Linked DNA regions of Alligator mississippiensis. The protein of the gene in region 1 interacts with the protein of each later gene in a pairwise test. Links are inferred from orthologs where the notes say so. Each region holds a gene or a part of one and is shown in the gene's direction. Other genes may lie near its edges.

What was found.
Region 2: the proteins of MYOZ1 (region 1) and FLNC interact in a two-hybrid assay, tested with the Homo sapiens proteins (2 studies listed by BioGRID and IntAct). The link is inferred for Alligator mississippiensis from reciprocal best matches to the Homo sapiens genes MYOZ1 and FLNC.

What each region holds. Positions count from the first base shown.
Region 1 is NC_081829.1:25,425,547-25,441,009, reverse strand, and holds the start of MYOZ1 (myozenin-1), read left to right. Parts: upstream 1-8,886; 5' UTR 8,887-9,102; intron 9,103-11,211; 5' UTR 11,212-11,237; coding exon 11,238-11,313; intron 11,314-13,930; coding exon 13,931-14,112; intron 14,113-15,463. UniProt on the Homo sapiens protein: Myozenins may serve as intracellular binding proteins involved in linking Z-disk proteins such as alpha-actinin, gamma-filamin, TCAP/telethonin, LDB3/ZASP and localizing calcineurin signaling to the sarcomere.
Region 2 is NC_081827.1:2,768,672-2,783,877, reverse strand, and holds the start of FLNC (filamin-C), read left to right. Parts: upstream 1-8,867; 5' UTR 8,868-9,353; coding exon 9,354-9,684; intron 9,685-15,206. Other genes in the region: CCDC136 (coiled-coil domain-containing protein 136), read left to right, coding at 1,187-1,510, 1,691-1,808, 2,284-2,551, 2,655-2,798, 3,787-3,894.

The sequences.
Region 1 (15,463 bases):
TTAAACCCTCCCCTTCTAATCTTTTGTTCTTTGGAGGAGCTCACAGAGCCGTGATTAGTGATTACTCCGTGCTGCATATTTGCAGGGAGAGCCAGTTTCATACCTCTGAGTACTGGCAGCAGGTGTCTGGTCCTGCACAGCCAGCTTGGTAGGCATGCTGCAGGAGGTGGCTCCCTGGGAAGAATGCCTCATGGATGTATGAATCAAACAGCAGCTCTTCTTCATTCAGCAAAGTCTGAGGCTATCAGGGCTCTGGACTCCCATTGCACCTCCAGGGGGTATCACCTGTAGCAGACCTCATCTGCTGTGGCAGGGTCACCTGCCACTCCTGAAATAGTCTTCAAGGTCAGGTACAACAAGACAAAATAACTCTGAATAGGGGTCATGGACATGGGTCAGGGCATAGATCCCATCACTCTTGTTCAGGCTCTCCCCTTCAAACACTTCTCACCAGCATGAGACAATAGCAAGATCCCATTTTTCACTGCTGACAGTCCTTCCTGACTTCAGCATGTTTACGGATGCAGAGGTGTCAACCAATGAAAAATATTCTCAGGAAAGACATTCAGAGTTCATCTGAGCTGTTGAGCTCGGAGAGGTGGGATGACAGAATTAAAATCAGCATATGCCTTCTAGGTCCATGTTCTTCTGTCATGTAGAACTGCTGGGTTTAATGAACCATACATTTGTGTCCAGGGACGAGAAGTACCTTCAACTCTAAAGAAGAAACAACCCATGGCTAGGAGTAAAGAGAAGGCTGAAAGCCAAGCACGGAATCAAAAAAGGAGCCTCAAAGTGAATTTTTCACCAAGCTCAGTTTTGTGTTGGAGCGAAATAGGAGATGCTGCCTAATATTGTTAAGTTCTCAGGGATGGGAGCCTGGTACTCAGACCAGTCTGCAATCCCCTAGAACAGGAATAGGCAACGTTTTTGGGTGGAGTGCAGAAAAAACCATTATGTCTGCCTTGTAAGGTACCAGAGTGCTGGCATGTCAGAGAAACAAAACTGGGCAGGGGGTACATGGCAGGACACACTGCATATTAATATAGTTAATAATCATAAATGGTCCTTTTTTTTTCCTTTTTTTTACAGTAAATACCAGGTTTTCTAAACATTCTAAATCTGGTAACAGTAACTAAGACTTCATATACTACATGTGCACACAGAACCAGACACACACATGAGCACACACAGAAGTAGACACACACGTGTGTGCACACATGCACACACACACACTTGGCCAGGCTGCTGGGCCACAGGACAAGTCCAACCCAACAACACCTTGGGCCTGCGACAGCTCCTGTATTTTCCTAGGAAGCCAGTGCCAGGGCCTTGGCCTGGAACCCACCCATCAGCCAGCTGCAAGGGTGGCACTAGGGGGGCTGGGGGGGGCTATGGCCACCCCAAAATTCGTCTTAGCCTGCCCTGTGCGGCAGAGCCTGCAAAGCTGTGTGCTCCTGGGTAGGGGGCTAGGCTCAGACTGGGGCAGGCAGTGGCTGGAGCCAGAGGGATGGCTACAGGGGATCTAAAGTGAACTTTGAGGTGGCCATAGCCTCCCCCACCCCATGGGCTTCAGACCCCAGTTGGGCTTTGTGCCAGTGGCTACTGTGCGCTCCCCTCTGGGCAGCCGGCAGCAGAGGCGCCTGAGGCAATGCAACGCTGGTCCCTCCCCCGCTGTCCACCCAGTGCGCTGCTCCAGCCCCTAGGGGTGAGCTGGCCAGTAGCCTCCAGTGAGAGGCCCTCCGCAGTGCCTTCTCAGGCCCAGGCCCTGGCCCCTGGCTAGGAGCTGCGGGCAGGCAAGGCCGGGGCAGCTGCAGCAGCTATTCCCAGGGCCCCGGGGGTTTCCCGCAGCCAGGCCCTTACACCCAGGGCACTTCCACCCCTCCCCACTCATGCTGCACCAGTGGGCAGGGAGGCCGAGCTTAGAGCCAGGAGCCCCCCGAGCCAGGCAGCATCCCCCGTGGGCAGGGCGGCTGCACCCCAACCCTGCAGAGCTGCGCAGGCGGGGTCCCACCTTGGGTACTGCTGGGAGCCCCTGTCCGTCCACCTGCCTGCTGCGGCCCAAGCCCATGGAGCCCCAGGGCAGCTTGCTTTCTGCCCAGCCCCCCTTCTCCAGGGGTTGGCCTGTCCCCAGTGCCTCCCCCCACGCTGCCCAGACTCTGCCCCTGGTGCCCTGGTGCTGCCCCTGCCTGGCTGGGACAGGGCATTGAGCCTCGGGACCAGGGCTGGGAGCCTCCTCTGCAGTGCCTGCCTGGGCCACAGCCCTGCTTCCTCCAGAAACCAGGCCGGGCTGGAGGGCACAGCAGAACAGAGCCAGGGCCCCTGCCTCTCTTCCCCTAACTCTGTCCCTCGGTGCCAGCCACGGTGCTGGGCCCTGTGGCTGCTCCAAGGAGCCTGAACCCAAAACTTCAATGGGTTTTTTTGTTTGTTTAAACAATTTCCCGCACCTCTCTTGGTGTCCCGGGGAAAATGTCTCCATGCACCACTAACTGGCACACATGCCAGGGGTTGCTGATCTCTGCCCTAGAATGCTGCAGATGCCATGCAAACAGGAATTCAGTGGCTGTGAAAGGTTTGGCCTCTGCCCCTCTGAGGGCCCCAGAAGGTGGCTGTCAGTGCTTGTGCTCAGTGTGGAGTTGGGAAGCATTCCACCCCCTCGGCTCTCTTGGGCTTTGCCTCCAGCTCTGTATATATAGACACATGAGGAGAGAAAATAACCTCCTCGGGGCTGAGGTTCCAAGGACAGGGCAGGACTTTACATAGAACAGAATGAGGGTTACTGTATCACCTTTCAGACTATAGGCAGCTACAGAAAGCTGGGATTAGAAATGGGGACTTCTGCTTGCTTACTACTCATACTGGTGTAAATCAAAAGGAATTCCATATGAGCCAATAGAAATACACTGCTGTGAAAGTGGTGTAAGCAAGATCAGAGCTGGGTCCTGGAAGTGGAGTGACCTACTGGGACAAACATGGTCTGCCTGGATATCTTCATCTGTTCAGCAGTAGCTAACAGGCTAGAGCCTGATGGATAGTGCTGGCCAAGATGTTAGGTTCTGCCCAACTCATTGGTGTCTTTGAACCTGGAGTAGGAGCCCAATAAGAAATACTCTCCTACTGCAGAGTTCCCTCCGTTCATAACTTTCTGCAATCATGGCCTCTCCTCCACCTCCCTGAATCTCTTTCTTTCTTTCTATACCGCCCTAACTTTTCCTTGGCTCCATGGATCATTTGTATCTATACCTCCAGTGAGTATGGAAGCATCATGCCTACTGCTGCCGGGTCTTTGTGTATGTCCATGATGTACTCTGATGCCAGCTTTCCTGTCTTCTATGCAACTGTAACTCTCTGCCACTGCTTGGGTTGAAAAATCAGTTAGGAACCAGTGGGATGGGGGCAAGGGAAGGAAGCAGAGCAATTCAAACCTGGGGGAGGTGAGCATGACAACAGGTCTCTCCTCTTATAGCAACATTTCTGGCCACCCCAGGGTTCAATCTGTTTCCAGGTAATATCCATTTCTTGGGCATGAACTTCTTCCCTCATGATTATCTTCCATCCAGAAAGCCTCGGACTGGAACAGGGCTGATTTTAACATCACGTTGGTGACAGGAGGAAAGAGCCTTGGTTGAACTTGCATTTCTCTCTCTCTGGAGGAGGCCCATGACCAAAACCAGCACTGCAAAGGCCAGGCACAAAGAAAAGCAACTCAGCTCAAAGGATAGGTGTTGCTATTCAGGTGGTTAGGACAGGAAATCTGGTTTGTGTGGAGGGAAGAGAAATTGGGGTGGAGGAATGGGGCATGGGAAAAGGAAAGGTAGCAAATGGGATTCACATAAATAGGACATCATGAATGGCGCATACAGGAGGGAACTGGTTTCCATTGCCCATTCTTCTCCAAGTCCCTTATTTGATCTAAATCGGGGTGGGCAAGATATGACCCTTGGGCTGAATCTGGCCTGTCAGGCCATTCTATCCGACCAAAGGGACCCCCTAAAATTTAGAAAATACTTATCTGCTCCTGGCTGCCTGTCAAAGATTACAGGAGACAGGGGCAGTAGGACCCAGGGAGAACTGGCAGCAGGAGCCAGAAGCCCAGCCCCACCCCACCCCCAGCCATTTCCCTGCCTTCCTGCCCCTGAACTGCTCCAGCACCATGTGGCTCCAGGCTGCATTCCTGGACTGAGAGCACGGGGTTGTGCCGGTACCCCGGTGTGTATATGTATGTGTGTCTGTGTAGGGAGGGAGTGTGTGTATGTGTGTTTATAGGGTGAGTCCCACATGCACAACTCACCGTACACATGCAACCACACCCCCACCTTGCACTTCCATACACGCAGCCCCCCACATCCCCTCACACACCCCAGCCAGACTCCCCCAACATGTAGCCCCCACAAAGCCCATATCCACCCATGCCCCACATATAAATAGATTTCATAGACATTAGGGCTGGAAGGGACCTCGTAAGATCATTGGGTCCAGCCCCCTGCCCAAAGGGCAGGAAGTCAGCTAGGGTCAAAGGATCCCAATAAGATAAGCATCCAAATGTTTCTTAAAAGTGTCCAGAGTAGGTGCTTGCCCCACCTCTGGGGGAAGTCTATTCCAGGCCTTGGGCACTTGGACAGTAAATAAGTTTTTTCTTATGTCCAACCTAAAATGGTCTTCCAGCAGTTTGTGACTGTTCGACCTTGTCATCCCTTGGGATGCTCTGATGAATAGGCATTCCCCGAGATCCTGATGCACACCCCTTGTGTACTGATGCCAGCAAGTCACCCCTGAGCCTGTGCTTTTCCAGGCTGAAGAGTCCCATGGCTCTCAGACTCTCTTCATAAGGCCTATTTTCTTGCCCTCTGATCATGTGTGTGGCTCTTCTCTGAACTCTTTCAAGCTTCTCCACATTCTTCTTGAATTGTGGAGCCCAGAATTGGATGCAGTACTCCAACTGCGGCCTCACCAAGGCTGTGTACTGTGGGAGGATGACATCCTGGGTCTTACTTGAGATGCATCGGTAGATGCAAGCTAGAGTTTTGTTTGCTTTGCCAACTGCAGGATCACATTGGTGGCTCATGTTCATCTTGTGGTCAATCATGACCCCCAAGTCTCTTTCGGTAGTGGTGCTAGCAAGTGTAGCATTGCTGAGCCTATAATTGTGATGTGGGTTTTTTCCCCTCTGAGGTGGAGCACCTTACATTTCTCCATATTGAATGCCATCAAGTTTTCATTCGCCCACCTTGCAAGCCTATCAAGGTTGACCTGGATCACCAGCCTATCCTCAAATGTGGATACTTTTCCACAAAGTTTGGTGTCATCAGCATACTTGGCCAGTCCACTTCTGACACCAAAGTCCAGATCGTTTATAAAGACATTAAGGAGTACAGGTCTGAGAATGGAGCCTTGGGGACACCACTGGTCACCACGCACCATGTTTATTTGGTTCCATCAACTACCACTCTCTGGGTCTGACCTTGGAACCAGTTCCCCAGCCATCGGACTGTAGCGTAGTAGAGGACGCAGTTGCCCAATTTTTCCATAAGGAAATGATGGGACACCCGGTCAGAGGCTTTTTTAAAGTCCAAATATATGATATCAACCTCTTTTCCTTTGTCCAGGTGATACATCACCTGGTCATAGAAGGAAACGAGAATGATCAGGCAAGACCTACCCACAACAAACCCGTGCTGGCTATCCCTCAGAATGTTGCCTTCTGTTAGCCTGTCAAGAATGGTATCTTTGATAATTTTTTTCCAAGATCTTTCTAGGGATTGAGGTCAAACTGATTGGCTTGTAGTTGCCCAGATCTTCTTTCCTCCCTTTCTAGAAGATAGGCACCACATTGGCCCTGTTCCAATCTTCAGGTACTTCACCCGAGTGCCACGAATTCTCAAATATCCTGGTCAGTGACCACACTATGATGTCTGCCAGTTCCTTTAGTACTTCTGGGTGCAATATCTCCTCACACACCCAAATGCTTCCTCACCCCACACCCACACCCTCCCCCACACCTGACATACTCACACAACCACAGTCTCCCACAAACCTATACCCCCCCAACAATATACAAGAGTAAGACTTCATTTTAAGCTATTATATACAATCACCTTGATGTACACTACAGAAACACATGTAAAGCGGGACAAAAATATTTTTTTAAATCAAATTAATGAATGTTTTAGTTGTTCACTTTTTAGAATATAATTTTTTTTTTCTGTTTCTGGGATAGCAAAACCCCTTGCTGAAAGGAGTACTTCTGGGGGAAGGGGAGGGACTTCTTGTGGCAAAGGTCAGGGGTTAGGGGGCAGGACTTCCAGTCCCAAGATGGCAACCAGGGGGCGTGGTACATGTCAAGGGGCGGAGCTACCCATGCGGCCCTTGACAGCTTGCAAAACTCGGTAAGTGGCCCTCCACCCAGAATAATTGCCTGCCCCTGATCTAAATGGTCCCCCGTATTGTTCCAACCTCCTCCTCTTCAGACCTTCCCTGTGGCTGGTCTCTGGTTGTGTTCCGCCACCCAGAGCAGTGACTGCATTTTGCAGACACCCAGCTGCTGTTCTTTTTCCACCAGCACAAATCCCTTACATTCATATGCATGTCGTGGCAGGGAAGAGAAGTTCCCTGAGCTGCAGAATATAGCTGCTACATATGCCTTACAGGAAGAAGAAAATAATCCTTCCAATGCTGCCCAGCATGGACAGTATTTGCAAGCTGGGCCTGAAACAAGTTTCTATGTGTCCTCCTGTACACAGCAGGTAGGCACCTGAATGGGGCCACTCAGAGGAACACTTAGAATCACAGGAAAGTAGGGCTAGAAGGGACCTCAGGAGGTTGACTAGTCTAACTCCCTGCTCAAGCCAGGCTCATCCCTGAGCAAACCATCCTAGTCAAGCGTTTGTCCACTTAAACTGCTGCAAGAGGGGCTACTGAGACCTGGGCAACTGGTTATCCAGGTAGGGTGCTAACCCAATCCATAACCAGCCCCAAGATCACCAGGACATGGTGCAAACCTTTGGCCCTTTATGACTTGTAATGTGCAGAGTTGGGCCAGAAGTGAAGAACCTGCTCTTTGTTCAGCCATTTATACTTGGCTGAAGCCCCAGCAGCAGCCTAAGCCAGTGGGTAGCTGGCTGTGATGATGTTTTACACTTAGACTTCGCACACTCATAAATGACTACCCATGGAATGAGGATCCCTGTGCCTGGCTCTCAAGCAGCACCTACAGCAGGCAGAGAATCTTAAAAGCCAGACTGTTCACTTACTTGCAGCTGTGTTATGCTGGCATGGTGTCATGTCATTACTCTCAATTCACACGAGAGTGAGAGGAGAATACGGACCTTACCATCTGTCAACTGCCTTGTGCGTCAGCTGTGTTTGGGATCCTTGGGGAAGGAAGTGGTGCCTACTGCAGTAGTGAGTGGAGAAGGAAATTAGGTTATTCCATGGGCACAAAGGAGGCAGTGGCCGGCTGCAAGAGAAGGAGTGATAGGAGGCTGCGTGCCAGGAGATGGGCTCCCAGTCCCTGTGAGGTGAGGTGATTACTGTGAGGTAGTGAGGTGATTACTGTCTGTGTCATCATCCTGATTCCCAGAGCATTGCTCCTCTGGGGTTTGGATTCAGGACCTATGAGGGCTCAATTCACTCTCACCCTACATTCTGGTCAGCTATTTATGCCACTGCATTGATCTGACTGGGAGGGTTTGCACACATTTTACACCAGGCCGAAGGGAATTAGCCTACCATGAGGCTCTCCTTTGATGATCCATCATTTCATTTTAACTCTGCAGTTTTTTTTATTAGATCCTGCCTCATTCAGTGCATGGGTGGGCGGGGGGGCATGTCTTGGACTATGAGTTGGCCCTGCCATCAAGCAGGCTGTGATCTGTAGGACTCTGGCTTCATTTGCTGAAAAAGTTGGGAGGAATAACCCTGGAGTGGGTAGGCCTCAGCCTGTCTTCTCCAGGTGGGGTGACACAAAGTCAGGCAGCTGGTTATAGAAGGAATAATAGTGAAATAGGGATGGGGATGTGGTGACAGGATCAAAATCGGGGCACCGGAAGGGAAGACTGGGCAGAAAGCTACGGACTGTGCCTACCTCTCCTCAAGGAAAGTTCTCTGGCTCTGGTGGAAGCTGCCCAGAGGAACTCTGCCTGGAGATGGAAAGTGCCCCTTTCCCCTGCCATGTGCTCTGTACCCTTTCAGATTTGAGGCACCCCTTGGCACACTTGAGGCAGCACTGAGAAAATGCCAGCTCTTTGTTTTTACTCTGTTTTTGACTACAGAAAAATAATAGAGTAAACCATCTGTTGCAAAGAACTCAGACCACAACAGGGCAGGAAGCTTTTAATAGTATGGGTTCCTATTTGAAAACTCTGAGTTTATCTTGTGAATCATATTTGCACCCCTAACACTGCTAACACTGTGGGGCACCCTTGAAAAGATCTTAAGGCATCTGAGGGTGCCACATCACCCTGGTTGAGAATCATTGGAGTAGGGCATTGGGGGAGGAGAAATTACAAGGGTGTGAAGTAGGGGATAGAAGTTTAGAGGAAGCAGTGGCGTGCAGGGTGAGGTGGGTGCAGAAGGTGCCATGCAGTCAAGTGAGGTTCAAGGGTGTGCAGGGCACACAGGGATATAGGATAGCGCAGGAGGGGGAGGAATTATGAAGGTGTAGCATAGTATTGAATGGGAAAAGAACACTGCTTTTATACAGAGGGAGAAGAGCAATGGTTTTGACAAGCCAGGCACCCACATGGTGTTTGGATCAGGACTGCAGGAGCAATAGGAGTGCTGAGGTGCACTCTTTTCCTTTCCTCCTCTCCCCTGTGCTGGTGCTATCTGAGACCCATGTACTCTGTGCTGTCTACTATTAATAACCTCAGGATGCCTGTGTGACCGGTCTCCAGGAGTCAAATTCACAGCACTCCGCATCAGCACTCTGTGCTGTGCAGACCTGGACTAAGAACGTGTGCCCTGGGTGAGCAGGGGCTGGGAGCCGAGCCTCCTGCAAAGTGCCCAGAGGAGGGACGTGGAGACCATCCTGCCATCCCGCTGCAGCAGGGCCCTGGGAAAGGGGTGTGTATATGTGTCTGAGCCTGGCACTGGGAGCCTGAGGTGAGTTCTTCTAACAGCAAAATAACAACCCCAGAGCCTAGAGAGAAGAGGACAAGGGCAGAAATGGAGCTAGAAGGTAGAGACCAGCCTCACACTGCAGCCTGGGGACAGGAAAGCAGTGCTGGAAAGTTTGCTGCAGATTGGTGGGGAGGAACTGTGCTGCAGAGCACAGCCCAGTTGCAGGAAAGCTGTGTTTCTTGCCCCAGCTCTGTGCCTGGGATAGTAGTTGGGTGCAAGACCATGGTAGCCTCTCTCTTTGGAGTCTCTGAATGATCTATCATCCTGGCTTAGCCAGGGGACAACTGAATACTGCAGGATTCCTGTCCTGCCTGGGATTCCCTCTCCTCCCCTGGGCTCAGTGAGCACTATAGGTTCCCCTGGCCCTGAGCCTGCCTGGGAATCAGTGAAGGATTAGAGAGAGGACACAGCAGGTTTCCTTCAATCTCACCCTGGGATTATTGTGTTGTGTTAACAGAGCTCCACCCCTAGTGGGATGACCTCTCCCCACCTACTGCTGGGAGTTCATATTTCAGGCAGGCAGATTTCTCTCCCTTTTCCCACTCTAAAAATTCCCAGTCCCTCCCCCACCCAGGTATCCTGGCAGCATCATGCCTGTCCTGTCAAACAGCACCCTCCCCTTTTTATATAGCTAAACAGATGTCTGGCTGCTCAGAGGAGAATGCATAGTGCATGCTTTACACTGCACCTGCTGACACTTTATTTGGGAATATACCATGGTTGGCACTTTTATGATGTGAACTTCATGGAGATGCTATCAATAGAAAGTAAACCCTGGAAATCAGGAAGAAAACCTAACCCAGGAGAATACCATACTTGCCAAGAGCAAACAGAGCTGGTCTGGTCTGGCTGAGCTGCTATTAGCACAGGAGTCAATCAGCTGTCTGGCCACCTCTCAAAAGCATGTTCCAAAAGCAAAACAAAAAAATGGAGAAGTACTGAGAAATATCTGCATGGCAAAATATGTGCCACAGACATTGCCTAAATTCTTAGGGCACTTGTTTCTTTGTTTTTGTGTTTAACATAGCTCTCAATTTAAAGGATGCAGTTCTGAATCCCAGTGCAAAATGGCAAAGGGGACAAATGACATAATTAGGCTTTCCAGCCAGCTGACTTTTGCAATTTGAAGCTGAAGTCCCTGGAGCTGTGCCAGTTTATAATATCAGCCTAGGATCTGACCCCTAGAAGTTGTTTGTGCCACCTTCACCACCATGCAGGACTGAGGGTGGAGGAAGGTTTGAAATGGATTTGCAGGGCTTTCTTTTCTGCTCTCTCAGCCTTGTAGTTCAAACCTCTCCCCCTAAGGGAGACAAGGACAAGATGATGTGTGAAATCAAGTCCCCCAAACCTGAAGGGTCTGTGATAAACTGAATAAATAAGACACAAGTGTAGGTGACTTCAAAGCATGGGGGCTTTTTCGTCTAGCCTGCTTGCCACTTGTTTCCTTTGTTTAGCTCTTTTGGAGTGGATCACCTACAGTGGTAAAAGACCAGGTCCATTATGGAAAGAAAGATCTCGGCAGCTTGTCATCTGCTCAGTTTTTGAGGGACAGTTCTAACTTTATTAGGACTATCCTATGTTCCACCATCTAAGCTTCCATGTTATTCAAATGTTCAAAGTATCTTCTCCTGGGCAGATACCCCAGCATCATTACAAGCAGATGATCTCCCACCACCTAATGATATTTACATAGCGTTGTAGCAATTTTATGTTGCCATGGTGTGATGTTGCAATATGACTTTTTGTCATTGTTTGCTAAAACAATAACAGGCATGGTGTAGCACAGTGCTTTAACACTGTGATGTTACAGTGCGGTGTCTTGGTGAGGCAAGATTATGTTATAACAGGATGCTTACTTTGCCATATGTTGGCATATTGTGTCTTGATATTAAGCAACCACAAAGACATCATTACAGCTTGACATGGAAGATGATTTTTTTTAGCAGTTACTCCACAGGTAAGGGTTTGGAGAAGAATCTGGATATGAAACAAGGGCTGCGTGCTTCATCGCAAAGCAGAGGCAGAATACTTGGTTCCATTGTGTTGCTCTAGTTTTCCAGTGTCTCATTCTCTATTTCCTTGTCTCCTTAGACTGAAAGAGAGATTCCTTTGTTGTAATGCCCCTGGCAGGAACTCCTGCTCCCATCAAGAGGAAAAAGTCCACTAAACTAATTGGGAAACTAAGTGAAGAAGGTAAGATGCACATATCTCCCAGAAATTCCTGTTGGTAGGTTTCAGTGAGACATAAAATTACAACTCCAAGATAGAGCATTTGCTCACCTCTGTATCTAGGAAGGTGACACCTGGGAGGTAACAGAACGGTCACATTCCTAACAATGCCCATTGCACAAATGCACCAACTCTGTGGGTGCTCTGGGACTCAAGCACCCACCAAAAAAATTAGCAGGTGGTCAGCACCCACTGAGCCATGCTTGCAGATGTTAAAAAACAAACAAACTATGCTTTACCGGAAGAAGCAGTAGGTTACTTCAAATGAGCTCTGCAGAGTCTGTAGAGATCAGGCACTTCAGTGGAGCTTTTTGGCATTTTTAATCAGCTATTAGAAAAAAAGCCCCGCTAAAGCACCCGATGTTTACAGATGCTTCAGAGCTGGCTTGAAGTAATGCACTGCATCTTCTGGGCATGTGCAGGGCTCGGCACTTGAACACACTGAGTTAAAAGTAAAGTGCCGTTTTGGTTTTTTTGTTTGTTTTTTTACATCTGTAAGCACCCATTGGCAAAAAACAAAGTTGGCACCTATGCTGTTGCAGGTAGCATCCTGTGTTTTCCACTTACTGCTGGCCTCTATTTGGTGCTCTGCAGGTCTGAATTAGCCCTTCAAAGGAGACTGCTAGATGATGAATGGGATGGGAAAGGGTAAGGAAGCATGACATATGGGCTGGAAAGAGTCCTGGAAGCATGTTGTTCCTGTCCTTCCTTGGAGTCTAATAGGTGAACATGACCTGCAGTGCCCAGGCCAGTAGGTAGGCCCTCCTACATGATTTGTTAGATGCCAGCATATAACCGTACCATATTTTATTAGTCTTCCCTCCACAGGGGTTAAGTAATCCCTCTGGGCCAAACTCTAAGATGAATCATTGGCTACTATGGAGTTACTACAGTGGAGTTACACCAGATTTAAATCATGGTAAATGAGAGCATAACGTGACTGCTTAGCCATGCCTGTGTACTTGTCCCTTTAATGAGCTATGCAGCTGTACAGATCCCTCAGTCATTATCTGTGGCCCTCATTTGCTTTTCTTCTGTAGAGTAGAAGCTCCTTGATTCTGGCACTCACTAGTCATAGGGTCAAGTTCTTCATCTGAGATAAATGAGGGGGAATGCAAGCCTGTGTCCTGCAGGACTGGAGGTACTTTTCCTTCAGCACTGTCTGTGCACATTGGAGTGGATAACATGGAAGTAGCAGAGACACACCCTTTTTATCCAAGGTTTCCATAGAATTGCAAAGCAAGTAACTGGTTGTTATTCCTTCCTCAGCTCTCAAAGAGGATCTCTGGAATCTGCTCTGCTAGGGAGAATGGGGCTAAGAGCACTATTATATAGCCTTTCAGGTTCATCCCTAAAGCCCTGTATTCACACCAACAAGCAAATATGGCCCTGTGTCTATAACAGTGCTCCTTTTAACTAGCTGTGTATCCAAATACATCCTATGTTCAGGAGAAAGGTTCTCTCTCCTTGGTTGGGGAATGGTGCTGTATGAAGCTGGCTTGTTGAGGAAAGAATCCTTTCAGGGATTTTGCTCATGTGTCAGAATTTGTCCAAAGGATGCAGGGTTCAGCATGCCATCCTTGTCAATGACTCTTAAGGGCAGGAAAACAGTCACCTGTCTTTGTGGTGTAGCCACCTGATCTGTCACTATTACTATAAGCTGCTGTAACTCCACTGAAATGAATGGAATACAAAAACCAGGCATTCAATCTAAGTTTATTGCCATGTCAGTAAGAGTTAAAAGTAACTAACAGAGTTTAAAAAGAGGACTCTCTCTTGCTTAGGGTAGATAAAGAAGGTCTAAAAAGCTTGTATTTATGTTTAAACCCTACATTTCTTCTGCTTAGCCTGTCCCTGGAAAGGGCTAATGGGATTGCAATACAAGGGACTGGAGGCTAATGAAAGGTGAAGAATTGGTTAAGGGAGGGCCCTAGCCTCAGTTTTAGCTAGGCTGTAGTGCAGGACCTAGCACAGAATGAAAGGCAGCCTAGCATGGAGTGAATGAAGGGAAACTGCCCCTTTCATTTATCCAGGGGACTCAGCAGATCTGTAACTAGATAAGAGCTGCCAATCAGGAAAGTCCTAATGGCATCATGACCAACTGCAAAATACAGCAGAGATCATTTTAAAACAAAAATAAACTCTATAATTAACTACAGGGAATTATTTTTCAGGCATGCTCATGAATTAAATCTCAGCCATTTGCATGGCTGCCTCTTAGGGCTTATTCCAGTGGTGTCCCAGTTTTGTCCTTGCTTCTTGCTTGTCATCATTGTTTAAAAGTGTAAATGGCTTTCAAGTGAACAGACCTCAGAGCAGTGGACAATTCAGGTAACTGAAAAATGGGGTGTGTCTGCAGTAGTAATGCTTTACCATACACGCATCCAGATGTATTTTGAACGGGAATTAGGGTAACTTGCTTTGATAGATGTCCAGAAAACCATCAGGAAAAGGAAATCTGTGTAGGCCTGTTCTATTACTGGAACCTTTCTAATGTAGACAATGCTTGACTTGTGCATGGGTGCTGGGGAATAAGAGAACAGAGAGCATGCTAAGGTGCACCTTCTGGTATGTTTTTTAGTCATGCCACAGGAAGGGTCCAAGCTGAACCTGGGGAAGAAGATCAGCATCCCCAGGGATGTGATGCTAGAAGAGCTCTCTCTCCTCACCAACAAAGGATCAAAGATGTTCAAACTACGTCAGCTGCGGGTGGAGAAATTCATATATGAGAATAACCCTGATGTCTTCACTGACAGTTCAGTGGTAGGTCAGAGAGTGCAACCACAGCTGGTTCATTACATATGGGAATAGGTGGGAAAGTTGAATTGCTCTGCTTTTGCCTTGGGAACGGGAAGAATCCTTATGATGTGGAGTCTATTGGTGAGAAGTGTGGGGGAAGGCCATGATTGCAAACAAGCTCAAAGAGTGACACTCCTTTGTGTCTCAGCATTAGTTTCCTTCAGGGCACATTGGGGACCCATTAATGAAGCAATGTCAGTAAAACTCAAATGGGGAGAATTATAAATGCTATAGATTGCCAGAGCTGTTTACCAATAAGTACATGAGTGTTGATTGTTTTAATCATTGCATTTCCCTTCTCCCACCAGGAATAAGTGCTTCATTCAGACCTGAATTCAGACCCCTGGGTTCTGTTCCATTTTCACTGTAGGCCATGGTATTTTTCATTCTTCTTTGTCTTAGGCTTCAGTTCACTTTTGAGAGAATATCCATGAAGTAAAATTCAGGTACAGGCCTCTAGCTGCCAACACTGTAGTTATTCGGTGATGTTTAATGGGAACTTCTGGGTAGAGCAGTAAGCCTAACATCCTACTTTATTTTCACTATTGTTTTTTCTTGTCCATAACAGTGCAGAAAGTCAGGCACATCCAGTTTCTCCTACCCCAAACTAAGTTTGTTATTTAAGCTTAAAAATTGAGGCTAGTCTTTTCTCTTTTTCACCAAAGATTTCTACCACCCTCCCCCCATTTCAGGAGTTTGAATTACTGAAGCAGCAGAAAAACAAAATTGCAAATGCTGACTCAATATCTCCTTCCCCTGTCTGTTCCTTAAAGCTTTAGTTTCTTCTCATCAGCCCAGTTGTTCTCCAATCCAAAGGGTCTTAACTTAGGGAGGTAACAAACCCCCTCCCCCCCCAAAAAAACCCCCACTAAATCAAAATAGAGGGTTCAGAGCAATCCACTTGTACTGGACTGGAGTGCAAGAAACCACCAAGCTAAGCCACAAACTAAGAGCAGACTGTCAGAAAATAGAGATCTAAATTAGAGTCAGGAGCAAAGGAAGTAGAAATCAGGATCCATCAAGTCATTTTGGATCAAAACACATCCAGGCTTGAGTCTGGAGCAAGAAATCAGCCAACAGAACCCAGAAACAACAACCAAAACCTAGGCAGAAAGATTTATATCCTACTGAGTAACCTAGCAGTTACTGAAAGAAATTAAAAAAATTAGGAAGCCATACCCATATAGGCACCTGGGGCCAGCTGTAAATTATTAGGCTGCTGGAAGCCAGGCCCACTCAGGTAACCAGGGCCAGCTAGGGCAACTTAGCTGGCTTGCTGCCCTAGTTTCTGACACTAAAGCAGAAAATAAAGGGA
Region 2 (15,206 bases), on another chromosome or scaffold:
TGTGTGTTTTGTGTGCATATGTCTGTGTGTGGATGTGTGCATGCACACACACGCTTGCCTGTGTGCATGCATATGCATGCCTGGTTGTATGTGTGCACTCATGTGTGGATGGGCAGGTCTCTGCATATATGACTGTGTGTGAGTGCATGCGCATACGAGTCCATACACATCAGAGCACGTCTCCTGGGACCTGCCGAGCCCGACGGTCCGGGGCCTGCTGCCCTGACCCTTGCCGGCCAAGCCCGCCTGCCCCCAGGCCCGTGGTGTGCGCTGACCCGCGGGGGCCGCGGGGCCGGGTTCCGAGCGCCGCGGCTTTAAGCGGGACCCCGGGCGGCTGCGCGGCCGAGCGGACACCGCCATGGAGCTCACGCCCTCCCCGTCCGTGGGCAGTGAGTGTCCGAGGCCACGGCCCCCCACCCCCCAGCCTGGGGCACCCACGGCCGGGCCCCAACTGCCGCCCGCCATGATGACCCCGCCGGACTGGCCCCCCCGGCTGGGCCCAACTGCCGCCGCGGCACCCCTGCACCCCGACGCCTGCCACCCGCCCCAGGCACCCCGACAGCAGGGCCTTGACTGCTGCCTACGGGGCCCGGGCCCCGACTGCCAGCCCTAGGGCAGCCCCCCGAAATCCCGGGGCATCCCTTGGGGTGCCCCGGCCCTGCTGACACCCCGCAGCTCCCCCCACTGCTGGTCCCTGGACTGCCCAGGGACCCCTGCTCCTGTGACCCCGCCATGCCCTGACCCCCCTTTTGCTGCCCCCATGGCCCCCCATCACATGGGGGTCTGGGGACCCCCTTGCACCCCCTCCCCTTGGCTTCGAGGGTCTTCTCCGCTCCACTGCACCCAGGATCGGGCTCCATTTCGGGTGTTAGGAGACCCTCGGCGTGGCTTCCCCCACCCTGTGTCCCCGGGGAGACTCCTCAGTGCTGGACCCCCCTCCTGTGCCCCCCACCACCCACTGCTGGGACCTCCCAGCCTGGGCCTGGGCAGTTCTCAGGGGAAGGGGTTGGTTTTGGGGGGGAACCGGCTGCTTTAGGAACCCCCCTTGATGGTTCCTAAATCCCCTCGGCCACCAGCTTCTGGTTCGCTTCCCATCCCCAACCGCCCTCCCCAGAAGCAGCTGCATTTCAGAGCTGGGAGCAACAGGGCGGCATGGGGGGGTCTGACCCTCTCTCCCGCCCCCCAGCCCAGATGCACACGCTGCAGGACGAGTTCAGCTCCCTGCAGGAGGCCAAGGCCTCGGAGCTGGAGGAGGTGGAGCAGGAGCTGCAGGAGGCGCAGGAGGAGCTGCGGGGGCTGCGGCAGGCGACGGAGGAGGCGGCCGCCCTGCACGCCAACGAGGTGGCCACGCTGCAGGAGCAGCTGTGCCGCCTGCGAGCCGAGCTGCACCGCGCCCACGTGCTGCGCGACGACTACGAGCTGGAGCTGGCCAGCCTGCGGGCCGAGATCCGCATGAAGGGAGGGCCCCGCGCCGATGCCATGGCCCCCCGGGAGGTGGCTGCGCTCCAAGGTACCGCGGCCCGGGGAGGGCGGGGGTCCGGCACAGGTGCAGTGCCACGGGGCGGTTGTGGGGTGCAAAGGACCAGAGTCCGAGGATGCACTGGGCTCATGCCCTGGGTGCTGGCACCCGGGGAGGGGGTCCCGCACAGCAGAGCCGGCACCGGCTGAGCCCAGGCCCGTGTGCCCACAGAGGAGCTGCAGGCACTGCGGGGGCAGTACCGGGACCTGCTGGAGGAGTATCAGACCCTGCAGGAGAGCAACAAGGTCATGGTGCACCAGCTCGAGAAACTGGAGGCTCAGGAGTACAGGTGAGGGTCATGCTGGGCACCGGCGGGTACCACTTCGGGCATCGCCTGCAGCCGGGACCCTATATCCCGTGCCGGCGTGCCTCCCATATGGGATGAGCCGGTGGGACTTGTGGGGCTCCTGCTTGCTGCCCTCTGTCTCGAGGGTCTCTCTCTGCTCAGCCTAGCCTGGACTGGGGGGGTTTCCCCTCCCTCTGCAGTGGGGGCATGGCCTGGGGTCTCGGTGCATTGAACCCCCTGGCAGTAGAAGGGCACTGTGCCCCCTCTTCCCTGGCATCACCTGGGGCAGGACCAGGGGGTGTGGGGCAATGGGCCTCATTGCTGAGCATGGGGTTGGGGTCAGGGCCAGGCCACATCTGGGGGGGTTGGACGGGGTGACGCTGCCCGGAGCTGGGGGGCTGGACTGGATGTGACCCCCCAGCCCGGCTGCGCTGTGACGATGACGGGGCTGATCTCACTTGGGCCGGGGCTGGTGCAGGGCTGATCCCACCCCGGGCTCCCGCCCCAGGGCCAGGACCAAATCGGAGGAGTCCACCAAGCTGCTGGATGTGAACGGGCCCCCGCGGCGGTCCCGCTCTCCCCGGCGCGCCAGCCCCCGCCCGTCCAGCAGCATCTCCTTCAGGCCCGCAGCAGAGCGGGCGGCCGACGGCTCCAGGTCCCAGAGCCGGGATGGCAACGAGGCCGAGGTCACCCTGCGCTTCCAGCTGCAGAGCGAGGAGGAGAAGGTGCATCTGGCCCAGAGCAAGGTACCGGGGGCAGCAGGGGGTGGGGGCCCGGTGGGCAGCCCGCAGCGAGCAGCGCTGACCCACGTGCCGCGCCACTCACCTGCCTGCCCTCCCGCCCCGGCAGTGCGACGACATGCAGGGGGAGCTGCGCGAGCTGCAGCGGCTGTACCAAGCCAGTCGGCAGGAGCGGGAGCAGCTGATGGAGGAGCTGCGCCTGTGCCGCGAAGAGATCCAGCGCCTCAACGGCACCGTGCCCTGCGGCGGGCGGGTAGGTGGCACCGGGGGCCGGTGCCGCGGGGTGCCTGTGGCATGCTGCTGGGGTGTCAGCCGGTGCCCACGAGCACTTCCAGCCCTACCCCCCCCCAAGCCCAGGAGACCCCAGCAGGGTACCCTGTGCACCTATGCCCGGCCTGGCCCTGTATGTCTCCATCACCCCCACACGGCCGTGGGGCCCAGCCCGGAGCCCACGAGCACCCCCTACCCACCCCGTCTAATCTCTCTGTGTCTCTTCTCTCCTCTCCGGGCCCCCTCCCTGCTCCTGGGCTGCCGCTGCCCCCCACCCCCCAGCCGCGCCCCACTGCCGGCGCCCCCGTCCTCTCCCTGCCCCTCGTGGGACTGGTGGTTATAGCGGCTCTGCTCTGGTGCTGGTGGGCCGAGACCTCGTGAGGCTGCTCAGGTACGGTACGCGCCGGGGCTGCTGCCGCCTGCCTCCCCGTGCATGGCCAAGTGCTTGCTGCCCCGTGCCCTGCATGTGCCAGCAGGTCTGCATGTGTCATGCCCCGCATGTGCCATGTGTTCTGCATGTGCCATGAGCCCTGCATGTGCCATATGCTCTGCATATGCCATGACCTGTGCATGTGTCATGTGCCCTGTATGTGCTGCGTGCTTTGCATATGCCATGAGTTCTGCACGTGCCATGTGCCCTGCATGTGCCATGTGCTTTGCATGTTCTGTGTGCCATGCCCGGGGCCATGTCCCCTGCCCCTCTCCCCCTTCTCTCTGTCTCTGCCCCTCTCCCCTTGGCTTGTGCCCCCAAACCCTGCCACTGCGGTGCCAATGCCAACCCCCCCACCCTGCTCCCTTTGCTGGGGGGGGATCTCTGGCAGGGCCCGTCCCCCCAGTGACCAGCAGGGGGTGATCGCTGGTGCCCAGGATCGGTGCCCCGTGCCTGCAAGCTGCCCCCCAGCAGGGCAAGGCAAGGGGTCCCGGGCATCGTACGTGGCTGTCCTGGCACTGACCGTCCCGTGCCCCCGCAGGTCCCGGCCGGCGGGCTGAAGCCCATCCTCCTCTTCGCCGTGGCGGCTGCCGCCTTGTTCCTGGTCCCCTGCTTCAAGAAGGCCTGCACCTGCTCCCTGCCCGCCTAGGTGCCCGTGTCCGTGGGCACCCCCACCCTATCCCTCCCCGCTCCCCCCACCCCCGCAACGACGACAGCCGGAGACCTGTGTTCCAGCCGCCCCCCGGCACGGCCCAGTCACTGCCCCCGGTGAGTCCAGCCATGCCAGCTCCCCCCCATGCCAGCCCCCAACCTTGGGCACTGGCCCAAGGACATCTCCAGTACTTGGCAGGGGCAGGGGGTCACCCCCCTCCCTCTCCCAGGACCCCACCCAGGGCCCCAGTCTTGCCCCCCACCATCCCCACCCCTCACCCAGCTGGGGGGGGCAACAGAGCAATACACACGGGTCCACCCCCAGCCCCACCTGGCATGGCGCTGCCCCGCACGTGGCTCCCTTCCCCGCCGGACCCGCTGCAATAACTACACTTCCGCCAAAGAGAGCTGCAGCCACAGGGTGGGGGGTTTGGAGACCCTCGAGATAAGGGTTAGCTTCGGGGAGTCCTGGGGGGGAGGGACCAGCCCCTTCCTGTGCTTGTTTATTTATTCGCTCCCTGGGGGTACGGGAGAGCTGCCGGTGGCACCCATGGGCATGTGCCCGTGTCACCAAGTGCCACGAGGGCCTATCCTTCGCCATCCTCCCGCAACCCCGTGGCCCTCAGCTCTGAGCCGGCCATGAGAGCACGCGCAGGCGGGCATCCAAGACCCTGCGCCCAGCCTGCCCTCGCCCGCTGCTCCCCCACCTCCTCCTCCCCGCCCAGGGGTGCCAGCCTGCTCCTTCTCCTGGTTCTCCATTGTCACTCAGTAAAGGAACTTTCTCAGCACTTACTTGGATCCGTGTGCAGGCCACGTCACTGGGGGGTGGGCACGGGGGCACCGACGGGCTGGGGTGGGGGGTCCTGCACCAGGGGCATTTGCTCTGCCAGGGGCTTGCCGGGGGGGGTCTCACGTGGGGCTGGTGGCTGCCCGGCTTGGAGGGCTCCTGTGTCCAGCTCCCTCTGGGCGGGGGTCTGTCCTGGCCCAAGCATGAAGCACACCGTGTCCCTGTCACCGTGCACACACACACGTGTGAGCCTTACTCACCGCGTTCCTCGCACGCGCAGCTGCTGCCTGGAGCTGCCAGGGCGGCTGGACCCCAGACAAGGGCATGGGGTGGGGAGGGGGGTGATCGCAGCCTGCCCTGCCCCAGCTTGTGTCCCCCTGGTCCCTCAGCAGCCCCCATAAAGGGGGCACCTAGCTGGGGTGGGGGGGAGCATCACAGCCCCCAGGTCCAGGCCCACCCCCACCCCAGCTAGGGAAGGCAGGGAGGGGACCCAGGCATCCGGGATCCTTCGAGCTCCCTGGAGGTGGGGGAGAAGCGGGGGACCTGGCTGGAGCCCCCACAGCTCCTCCATGGCTCTGCCTGGGGGGGCCGAGCTGGGAGCCCCGGGCTGGGGGTGTTGGGATGGGCTGGGGCCAGCTGGGCGCCAGCGTGACGCGGCCGGGCCCTGCTCTGTGCGCCGTGACTCAGCACCCGCGGCCGGGCTGTGTGCCCTGCAAGGGGAGGGGGGTGTCCATGAGACGGCCTGTGTGTGTTTGCGCGCGTGTGTGTGTGTGTTCACATCCTGGCCCGTTTATATGTGTGTCAGAGGCAGGGGGGTTTGGGGGGTGCGGTCATATCTTGGCCTGTGTCTATGTATTGGCATGCATCCAGCTGTTGGCACATGTGTGCATATGTGTGTGTGCCTGCATCCTGGCCTGTGCATCCATGTGCCAACAGCTGTGTGTGTGTTGGTGTGTGTCTGTCTGTTGGCACATGTGTTGGTGTGTGCATCCATATCCCAGCCCATGTGTGTGTCTGGCCATGTGCGTGTGTGTGTTGGCATATCCATCTGTTGGCGTGTATGTATGTTCATATCCTGGCTTGTCCATCTCTTGGCGTGTGTGTCCATGCCCCAGGCTGGGTGTGTGTCCTTCCATGTGCTGGCCTGTGTGTGTGCGTGTGCATGAGTTCATAGCCCAGCTCGTGTGTGTGTTGGCATGCCCATCTATTGGCACATGGGTGTGCACACGCGCTAGTGCATGTTTGTCCATATCCCAGCCCACGTGTATGCATGTCCATATGCTGACCTGTGTGTGTGTGTACATGCATGTTGGTGTGTGTCCATGTGTTGGCTCACGTGCACACACGTTTACTATCCCAAGCCCCACTCACTGCCAGGACATGGGATCCCCGCACCCACCCACGCCTTCCCTCGGGGGCTTTTCCAGCCCATACCCAGCCGCAGGCATGTACAGACGGCCCCGATCCTGGGCATGACGACACAGGGCAGCTCGGCCCAGCCCAGCCCCCCCGGCACGGCACGGCGCGGCGCGGCGCAGGGCTGGACGGGACTGGATCGGCGCCATGCGTGCTGGGGTCAGGGGAGGAGCAGGGGTATTTCGGGCGGCTGATGCCTGCCGGCTCTGACTTGGCATTTTATTAATAGCCGCCCCAGCTCACACCCCCCCTCGCCCCCCACCAGCCATTCAGGACTCCCAGCCTGGCGGCTGCAGGGACACTCATACTCGCCCCCCCCCCGCCATCTCCTGGCTTGGAGCCTGCTGCTGGGCCAGGACCCCAGGCCTCCAGGCCACTGCTCTCCCCCATGAGCCGCGGGGAGAAGCCAAGGGGGGCCCTGGCTGCTGGGCCTGCCTGGAGCCCCCCATCCCCTTCTACTCCCTGGAGCTCTGCTGCTGCGGGGCGCTGAGCTGGGATTGCTGTGGGGGGGTCACAAGCGCCTGCGGCTCCAGGGTTACATTGTCATTGGCTGCTCTCGCCCCAGGGTCTTGGAGCCCCTAGCAGGGGCAGGCTGTGCCCATGGGGAAACTGAGGCAGGAGAGCACCCCCGTCCCAGAGACACCCGTAGCCTCGGGCATAGAAGCCAGGAGTCCCGACCCCCCCAAACCCTGCTTTGCTCTCGTGCCAGAGTCCTGGGGGCAGCTGCAGCACCAGGCCCCGGCCCCCTCCCCAAGCTAGGGTAGGACCCAGGAGTCCGGGGCTCCCCCCCCACCCCCCGTCAGCGCTGGCAGCGCGTCCGGCTCCGACGAGAGCTGGAAGGTTCGAGCGCCCGCGTCCAGCTGGAGCCGGGGGGGGCCACGGGGCCCAGCCAGGAGCATGAATCACAGACCAGGACCCGAGGCCGCTTTGAACCTGAGCCGTGGCCCGAGTGCGAAACCGGAACAGCGGGGACACGCGACACCACGCACCCCCCCCCCCTTCTCTGCACACAGGGGAAGGGCCCGATCCTGCCTGCCTCGCCCAGCTGGGCAGGCCCCCTCCAGTCCGAGCCCCAGCTCTACCCCACTAAATCCCACTAGAGTGGGACCCAGGAGTCTGGGCTCCCCGTGCAACTGCTCCACACCCCTTCTCACCGCCGGGACCCCAGGCATCCGGGACGATCCCCTCCAGCCTCGCCTGGGAGCCTCCTCGGCCCCCCCCGCCCGACGTCCCAGCTCAGGCCTGGCGTCCCATCCCGGCTGGCACGGTGCCCACCCGCCCCCGGACACCCAATCTGGCCCACTCTGACTCAGCCTGGTGACGGGGTGGGTTATTTCCATCTCAGCCCCCCAGTGCAGCCCCCCCAGCAAGCGGGGGGGTGGGTCCACGTTCGAGGCCACGCATGGGGTAGGGATTGGGATTCCCTTGGCAAGGCCCAGGGGCATCCGTGGGCCCAGCCTTCGCCCCCACGGCCCCGGTGCCCAGGGCAGGCTGCTCTGGAGGGGGTGGCTCAGTTCCGAGGGGGTCCAGGCCTCTGCGATTTGCATTCACCCACCCAGAGGGAGAACTTGAACCCAGTGCCCACCAGCCCAGGGCTGTGGGGTGAAGGCGGGGGCAGCCCCCCGTCGGGCACACCCTGTGCCCTGCCCATGTCCCCTGAGGTGGGGGCAGGCGGGGGCTGCGTCACGGCCGCGCGGCGCTCCGCTCATGGGCTATTCTGAGCGGCGCATCATGGGAGAGGTATGAAGCGCCGGCCGCGCCAGGACCCCCCCTCCCGCCCCCCATGGTGCGTCACGGGCAGCTTTTTCTGCGCCGTGATGGCACCGGCTCTAGCACCTTCCACCCGGCCCGAATGAATGGGCCTGGCTGCCCTGCCCCCCCCTCCCATGTTGGGTTGGGGTGGGGGGAGCAGGGAGACCACTGCTCACACTGATGTGCAAGGGGGAAACTGAGGCAGGGCACTCCTGCAGTACTGGGGGGGCAGGCAGGACACCCCCCCACTACCCCACACCAATGTGCAGTGGGGAAACAGGCAGGGAATTCCCATGGCACTGAGGGGGCAAGCAAGACATTTCCTATTATCGCCCATGAATGCACGCTGGGGAAACTGAGGCAGGGCACTCACATGGTGCTGGGAGGCAGGCAGAACCCCTCCTCCCCCCCCCACCTCGCCTACTACCCCCCAGCAGTGCACAGTGGGGAAACTGAGGCAGCGCACTCCCGTGGAGCTGGGGGGAAGGCAGGACAGCCCCGCCCCCCCACCGCCCACCATCATGTACTGGGGAAACTGAGGCAGGGAACTCCCTTAGCACTGGGAGGGCAGCAGGACACCCCCCCCCCCCCACACACCGATGCACACTGGGGTAACTGAGGCAGGGCACAACTGCGGCATGGGGGGGGCAGGCAGGACCCCGCCCACCATTGCACACTGGGGAAACTGAGGCAGGGCCCTCCCTTGGCCCTGGGGGAGCCGGGCAGGACCCTCCCCTGCTCCCTCCAGCCCCCTCCCCCTCCCCGCCCATCCCCCCGCAGAACCCAGCAGAGGTTAAAAATAGGCTGCGCGCTGAGCCGCTCCCCCCCCCCGGGGGGCCGGGCAGCCAATGGCGCCCCCCGCCGTGCCGGGCGCCCAATCCGCTGGCCCCGCGCTATCTCGGGGGGGCCGCGCGCGGCCCGCGCATCCCTACTTGTCCCGGCCCCGGCGGCATTCCGCGGAGGCCAGCGGCCTGACGCGGCGGGGCGGGGAGCGCCGCCTTAAAGCCCCCTCCCCGCGCCCTGCGGCCACTGCGCCCGCTCAAAATCGCGCTGCGCGCCGCGTGGGACCCCCGACAACGCCCCGCGCCGCGCCGGACACCTCCGAAAGTGCTCGGGGAGCCCCCAGAACCGCACCGCCGGAGACCCCCGACAGCGCCCGAGGGACCCGAGCCTGCCCAGGACCGCGCCCGGATCCAAAATCGCACTGCGCGGGACAGCCTCCAGCGCCCCGCAAGTCCTCCCGGGGCACCCGCAAACCCGCTGGGGGACCGCCACCCCGCATCGCCGCGCGCCTCTCCGAGGACCCCCTAAGGCCGCCCCGCGAGTTCGACCCCACCCGGATCCACCCCCCGTTTGAAAATCGCACCGCGCGCAGCAGGATCCAGCGCTCCTAAAACCGCCCCGCGCCCCCAGAGAGGCGCCCAGGACCCCCCGGTGCTACCCGGGACCTCCGGAGCCCGCAGCGGGAGGCCGATTCGGAGCCCCCGGAGTTGCGCGCAGCCATGAGCAGCCAGGAGGCGCCGGGCGAGGAGGCGGAGGAGATGCCGGCCACCGAGAAGGACCTGGCCGAGGACGCGCCGTGGAAGAAGATCCAGCAGAACACGTTCACGCGCTGGTGCAACGAGCACCTGAAGGGCGCCAACAAGCGCATCGGCGACCTGCAGCGCGACCTGAGCGACGGGCTGCGCCTCATCGCGCTGCTCGAGGTGCTGAGCCAGAAGCGCATGCTGCGCAAGTTCCACGCGCGCCCCAACTTCAGGCAGATGAAGCTGGAGAACGTGTCCGTGGCGCTCGAGTTCCTGGACCGGGAGCGCATCAAGCTCGTCTCCATCGGTGCGTCCCGCGCCGCGCCGCGCCGCGCCGCGCCGGGGGGAAGGGGGCCGGCCGGCGGGGCCGGGGGAGGCGCTGGGCTGGGGCCGCCGACAGGGCGGGGGGCGCGCACACGCAGTGCTTGAGCTCACACACGCGAAATGCTGTAACTTTACACAAGCGCTGAGCTGGGAGGTGCCCGCGCGCGCGCGCACACACGTACATGCACTAACTTCCTTAACTTTACACAAGCACTGGGCTGGGACGCCTTTGCGGGCGCGCGCGCACACACACACACACACACACTTCCATAACTTTACACAAGCACTGGGCTGCGAGGTGCCCTTGCACACACACACTGCCTGATCTCTGTCTCACATACACACACACACACACACACGCACGCACGCACTGACTTCCTTAACTTTACACAGGCACTGGGCTGGGGGGCACCTTTGCATATGTGCACACTACCTGATCGCTCTCTCTCTCTTTCTGTGTCACATGCACACACATACACACACATTTCCATAACTTTACACAAGCAATGGGCTGGGAGACATCTTTGTGGGTGCGCACACACACACACACACGCACACTGCCTGATCTCTCTCACACACACAAACTTCCTTAATTTTATACAAGCACTGGGCTGGGAGGTGCTCTTGCACACAACTGCATACATGCACTAATTGCACACACACATGCACTAAATGCACATGCATGCATGCACACACTAACTGCCCACACACAGACACACACTAAGTTCCTTAACTTTACACAAGTGCTGGGCTGGGGTACCCAGGCACACACGCACACAACTGTACACACATAGACATGCACACATATAATAACTGCATGCGCTAAATGCACACACACACTGACTATACACATGCACAAACACACTATCCACACACACACACTAACTTCCTAACTTCACACAAGCACTGCGTTGACAGCACGCACACACTGACCTCACACTGGCCTTGTGCACACCCACTGCTCTGCGTTGTTCATACACACACTGATCTCATGCTGACTTCACACATGCACACACACTAACCACACACATATACACACTGCTCTGGGGATTACTCACATACACTGATCGCACACCAGCCTTTCTCACACTCACTGTGTTGAGAGTTGTTCCTACACACACTCATTGATCTCACACTGACTTCACCCACACACACACTTACTAACCTCACACACCTTTCAAGAGTCATCTACACAAACTTTGCAAAAGTACTTAGCTGGGGGCATGCACACATACAAATCTCACACTAACCTCACACACACACGCACACACTGCACTGAGAGTTGTTCCTACACACACATGCTGACTCACACACCCTTTGAAAGTCATCCACACTTCACACACACAATTAACACACACTCTGAGGTATTCACACATGCACTGATCTCACACCAACCTTGCACGCACCCATTGCTCTGAGTTGTTCCTGCACACACTGATCTCACACTGACTACAGACACCCCCCCGCAAACACATGCATATGCTTCCAGTCACCCACATAGACACTGTACACACAGTAACTTGGCACACACACACTGTGCTGGGGGTTATTCACACACACACTACTCTCACACCAACCTTGCTCACACCCACTGCTGCTCTGAGCTGTTGGTATGTACATGGATCTCACACTGACCTTCAGGCACATGCATGCACACGCACATTCTAACCTCACACACACACTCTGAGAATCACCCCCGCACACACACATTGCTCTGAGAGCTGTTCCTATATATGCACACACACTGCTCAGAGTGCCACATGTGTAGTGTGCACTAAATTGTAACTGGCTTCTGTCACTACCACACCCACATTGACCTCACACACGCAATGCTCTAAATAAACACACACACATGCACGCACACACTTCTCTGGAGGTCAATCTCACACCAGCCTCACACACACCCTGTGCTGAGCAGTGTTCCTACACTTAACTTTGCACACACGCTGCTCTGAGAGTTGGTCTCACACATACACCACACACACACTGTGCTGAGAGTTATTCATGCACACACATGCGCACACACACACACATGCACAAACTGATCTCACACTGACTTCAGGCCCAGGCCCACTAATTTCACATACACGCTGCCCCAAAAGTCACTCACACACACACTGCACTAAGAGTGCTTGATACACACACACACACACACACACACACACACACACACACACACACACACACACTGCTCTGAGCCACATACACATGCCAATCAAACATACTCACTGAACTCTAAAAGTCTCTCTCTCTCTCTCTCTCACACACACACACACATGCACACGCACACCTCACACGCACTCACAAGCTGAGCTCACACACACTGGGCTCTGAAAGTCTCTCTCCTTCCCTCTCTGTCATGTACACACACTGATCTTACACCAGCCTTACACACACACTGCACTGAGAGGTGTTCCTACACACACACGCCAACTTTACACACACTGCTCTGAGAATCAGTCTCACACATACACCACAGCCACACTGTGCTGAGTTTTTCCTACATGCATACATACACACACACATCTTTACACATCCTAGGCACACCCCCCAGCTCCCCTCCCCCTCAGCTCCCCCCTCCCCCTGATCTCACGCTGACTTCATACACCCACACACGCATACTGATCTTCGCATGTCATTGACACACACACTGGCCTTGCACAGACCCCTATTGCAGGCACGGCGCTGCCTGCCAACCACACACTTGCACACAGGCACACACACACGCTGATTGGAACCACACGCTGATTCTCCTCTCACCCCCCTGCTCTGCACGCTGAGCCCCTTCTGGTCCAGGCTGCACCAACAGTCGTGTCCCTGCACAGACACACGCCCCCCTAGAGCTCACACACATGCACACACAGAGAACACACCAACACAGACCCCGCACCTGAGGCTCTCAGACATGCTGCCCACCCTGGAGTTGGCTCTTTATGTCTCTTAACCCCCCCCTCCCCCCCGATAACACACACACACATCTCTCTCTCTCTCTTTTACACATGCATGCACACACTCCTTCCTAAAGTTGTCCTTTGCTCTCACACAGAGGGCTCCCTTTCTCTCACAGATACCTGGGTCTCTCTCTCTCACACACACACACACACACACACACATACACACGCACACACACAGTCCTTCAACAATTGTCCCTCTCACACAGAGGATATGCTTACACAGCCCCTGGGCCTTATATACACATGCACACACACACTTACTCCTTCCTAGAGTTGTGCCCTCCTCTTGCACAGAGGGTACATTTCCACAGATACTTGGGTCTCACACACACACACATAAACACACGCGCAAACACATGCTCACATGTAAACACACACACACACAAACATACTCCCTTCACAGTTGTCTGTCTCTCACAGGATATGCTTACACAACCCTCTCTCTCTCTCTCTCTCTCTCTCACACACACACACACACTCCTTCCTAGAGTTGTCCCTCTCTCTTACACAGAGGGTACACTTACACAGACACCTGGGTCTCACACACACATACACAAATGCACACTTATACACACACAGTCCTTCCTAGAGCTGCCTCTTTCTCTCCCATGCATACTGACAAAGGATCAGTTTACACACACACAAAGGCACACACAGAGGCACAAAGACACAGACACACATAAAATATGTACAGACACACAAACATACACAGACACCTGCATGTGTGTGCACACACACAAAACATGCACACGCACACAGACACACATAAAATATGCACACACACCCTCACATGCACAGATACACATGCACACACATGCAGACACATGTAAAACACACATTCCCGTCACACAGACACACACAGATGCACATAAAACATGCACATCCCAACATACACACACACGCATGCACACATACACACATATAAAACATGCACACCCCCAACATGCACACACACGCATGCACACATACACACATATAAAACATGCACACCCCCAACATGCACACACACGCATGCACACCTACACATACATATAAAACATGCACACCCCCAACATGCACACACATGCATGCACACAGACACACACATATAAAACTTGCACCCCTGCACACACACACACACACACACACACTGCCCTCCCCACTCCCACCCCCACACAGACAGGCTCGCTCTGCCCAGCTCCCCCACGCTGTGCTGGGGCCGGGGGGTCCCATCCTGCTCGTGGCTGCCCTGGGATGGGGGCATTTCACCGCCTCCCCCCGTGCCAGGCTGCTCTGCGCCAGGGCTGGGGAGGGGAAGGAGGGGGCGCTGGGCTGGGGCCAGGGCCGTGCTGTGCGCTGTGTATGTGCGCTGGCCGGGGGCCAAGCCGATTAAGGTGGGGGGGGCAAGACAAAATGAAGCTCATCCCAGGCCTGGCTCCAGCTGCCCTGGCTTGTGGGGGGGGTGCCTGGGATCGGGGCCAGGATCCTGCCCCCCACCAGCAGGGCCATGGGCAGGGCGTGGGGCTTGGCAGGAGCCGGGGCATGGGACGCCCCCTCCCCCCCCACACGCCAGGGCCCCAGTGCCATGCTGCACTTGTGCCCTGAGCACCCGTGGCGCGGGGATGCAGACACACACACACGGACATGCACCTACATGCAAGCAGACACACATGCACACCCAGAGAGCCTCACATTTGCACAACCAAGCGTGTGCGCACGCAGATATGCACGCATGCGCATGCACACACAGCCGCGTGCATGCACGAAGACCCGTACCTGCACACACACGTGCCCACATACACACGCACACTCTGCCCTCCCACATCCCCTGACACACTCAGAGCACCTTAGTCCCCTTCCCAGACACACACAGAGGCCCACCCGTGTGCAGCCCCCAGACACCCATCCCCCCCGCTCACAGACCCCGGCTCCGGGAAGGGCCACGGGGCCCAGGACATGGGTCCATCCATCCATCCACCCCGTGGCCCTCCCCGCCCCTCCGGCCATTGTGAGCCGGTGCCTCCGCCTGTGCGGGCCCAGCTGTCCGGCACCTGTCACGTCCCCCCCATCCCGGCAGCTGCACGGGGCACCAGGGCCCTTCCCTCCCCCCCCCAGCCCCAGAGCTGCCAGGCCTGCCCCATACGGTCCCCTGGGCCCAATCCCGGGACAGCTGCCAGGGTGGGGGGGACTCTGACACGGGGAGACCCAGGGCCCAGCTTTTGGGGGGAGGCGGGGTGCTATGGCGTCCGAACCACCCCCCACCCCGAGGGGCATGAGCTCATGGGTTGAGCGGCCTGGGAGTGAGGGGCACCGGCAGAGATGGGGGGGAAGGGGGCTGCGGGTCAGGAGCGAGGGGCTTCTGGGAGTGCCAGGGGGCTGGGAGCCCTGGGTGGGGCTGGGGCAGCAGCTGGGCCTGGGGGCGTGTCCGGCGCTGGGGGGGCACATTCCTGGCTAATCTCTTTGCAGCTGAGGCCTGACCCCCCCTCAGCACAGCCCTGGAAATAGCTCCCAGCCCTGCTGGTGCCTCTCATTCCCGACCTGCAGCCCCTGCCCCCAGCCCTGCCGGTGCCCC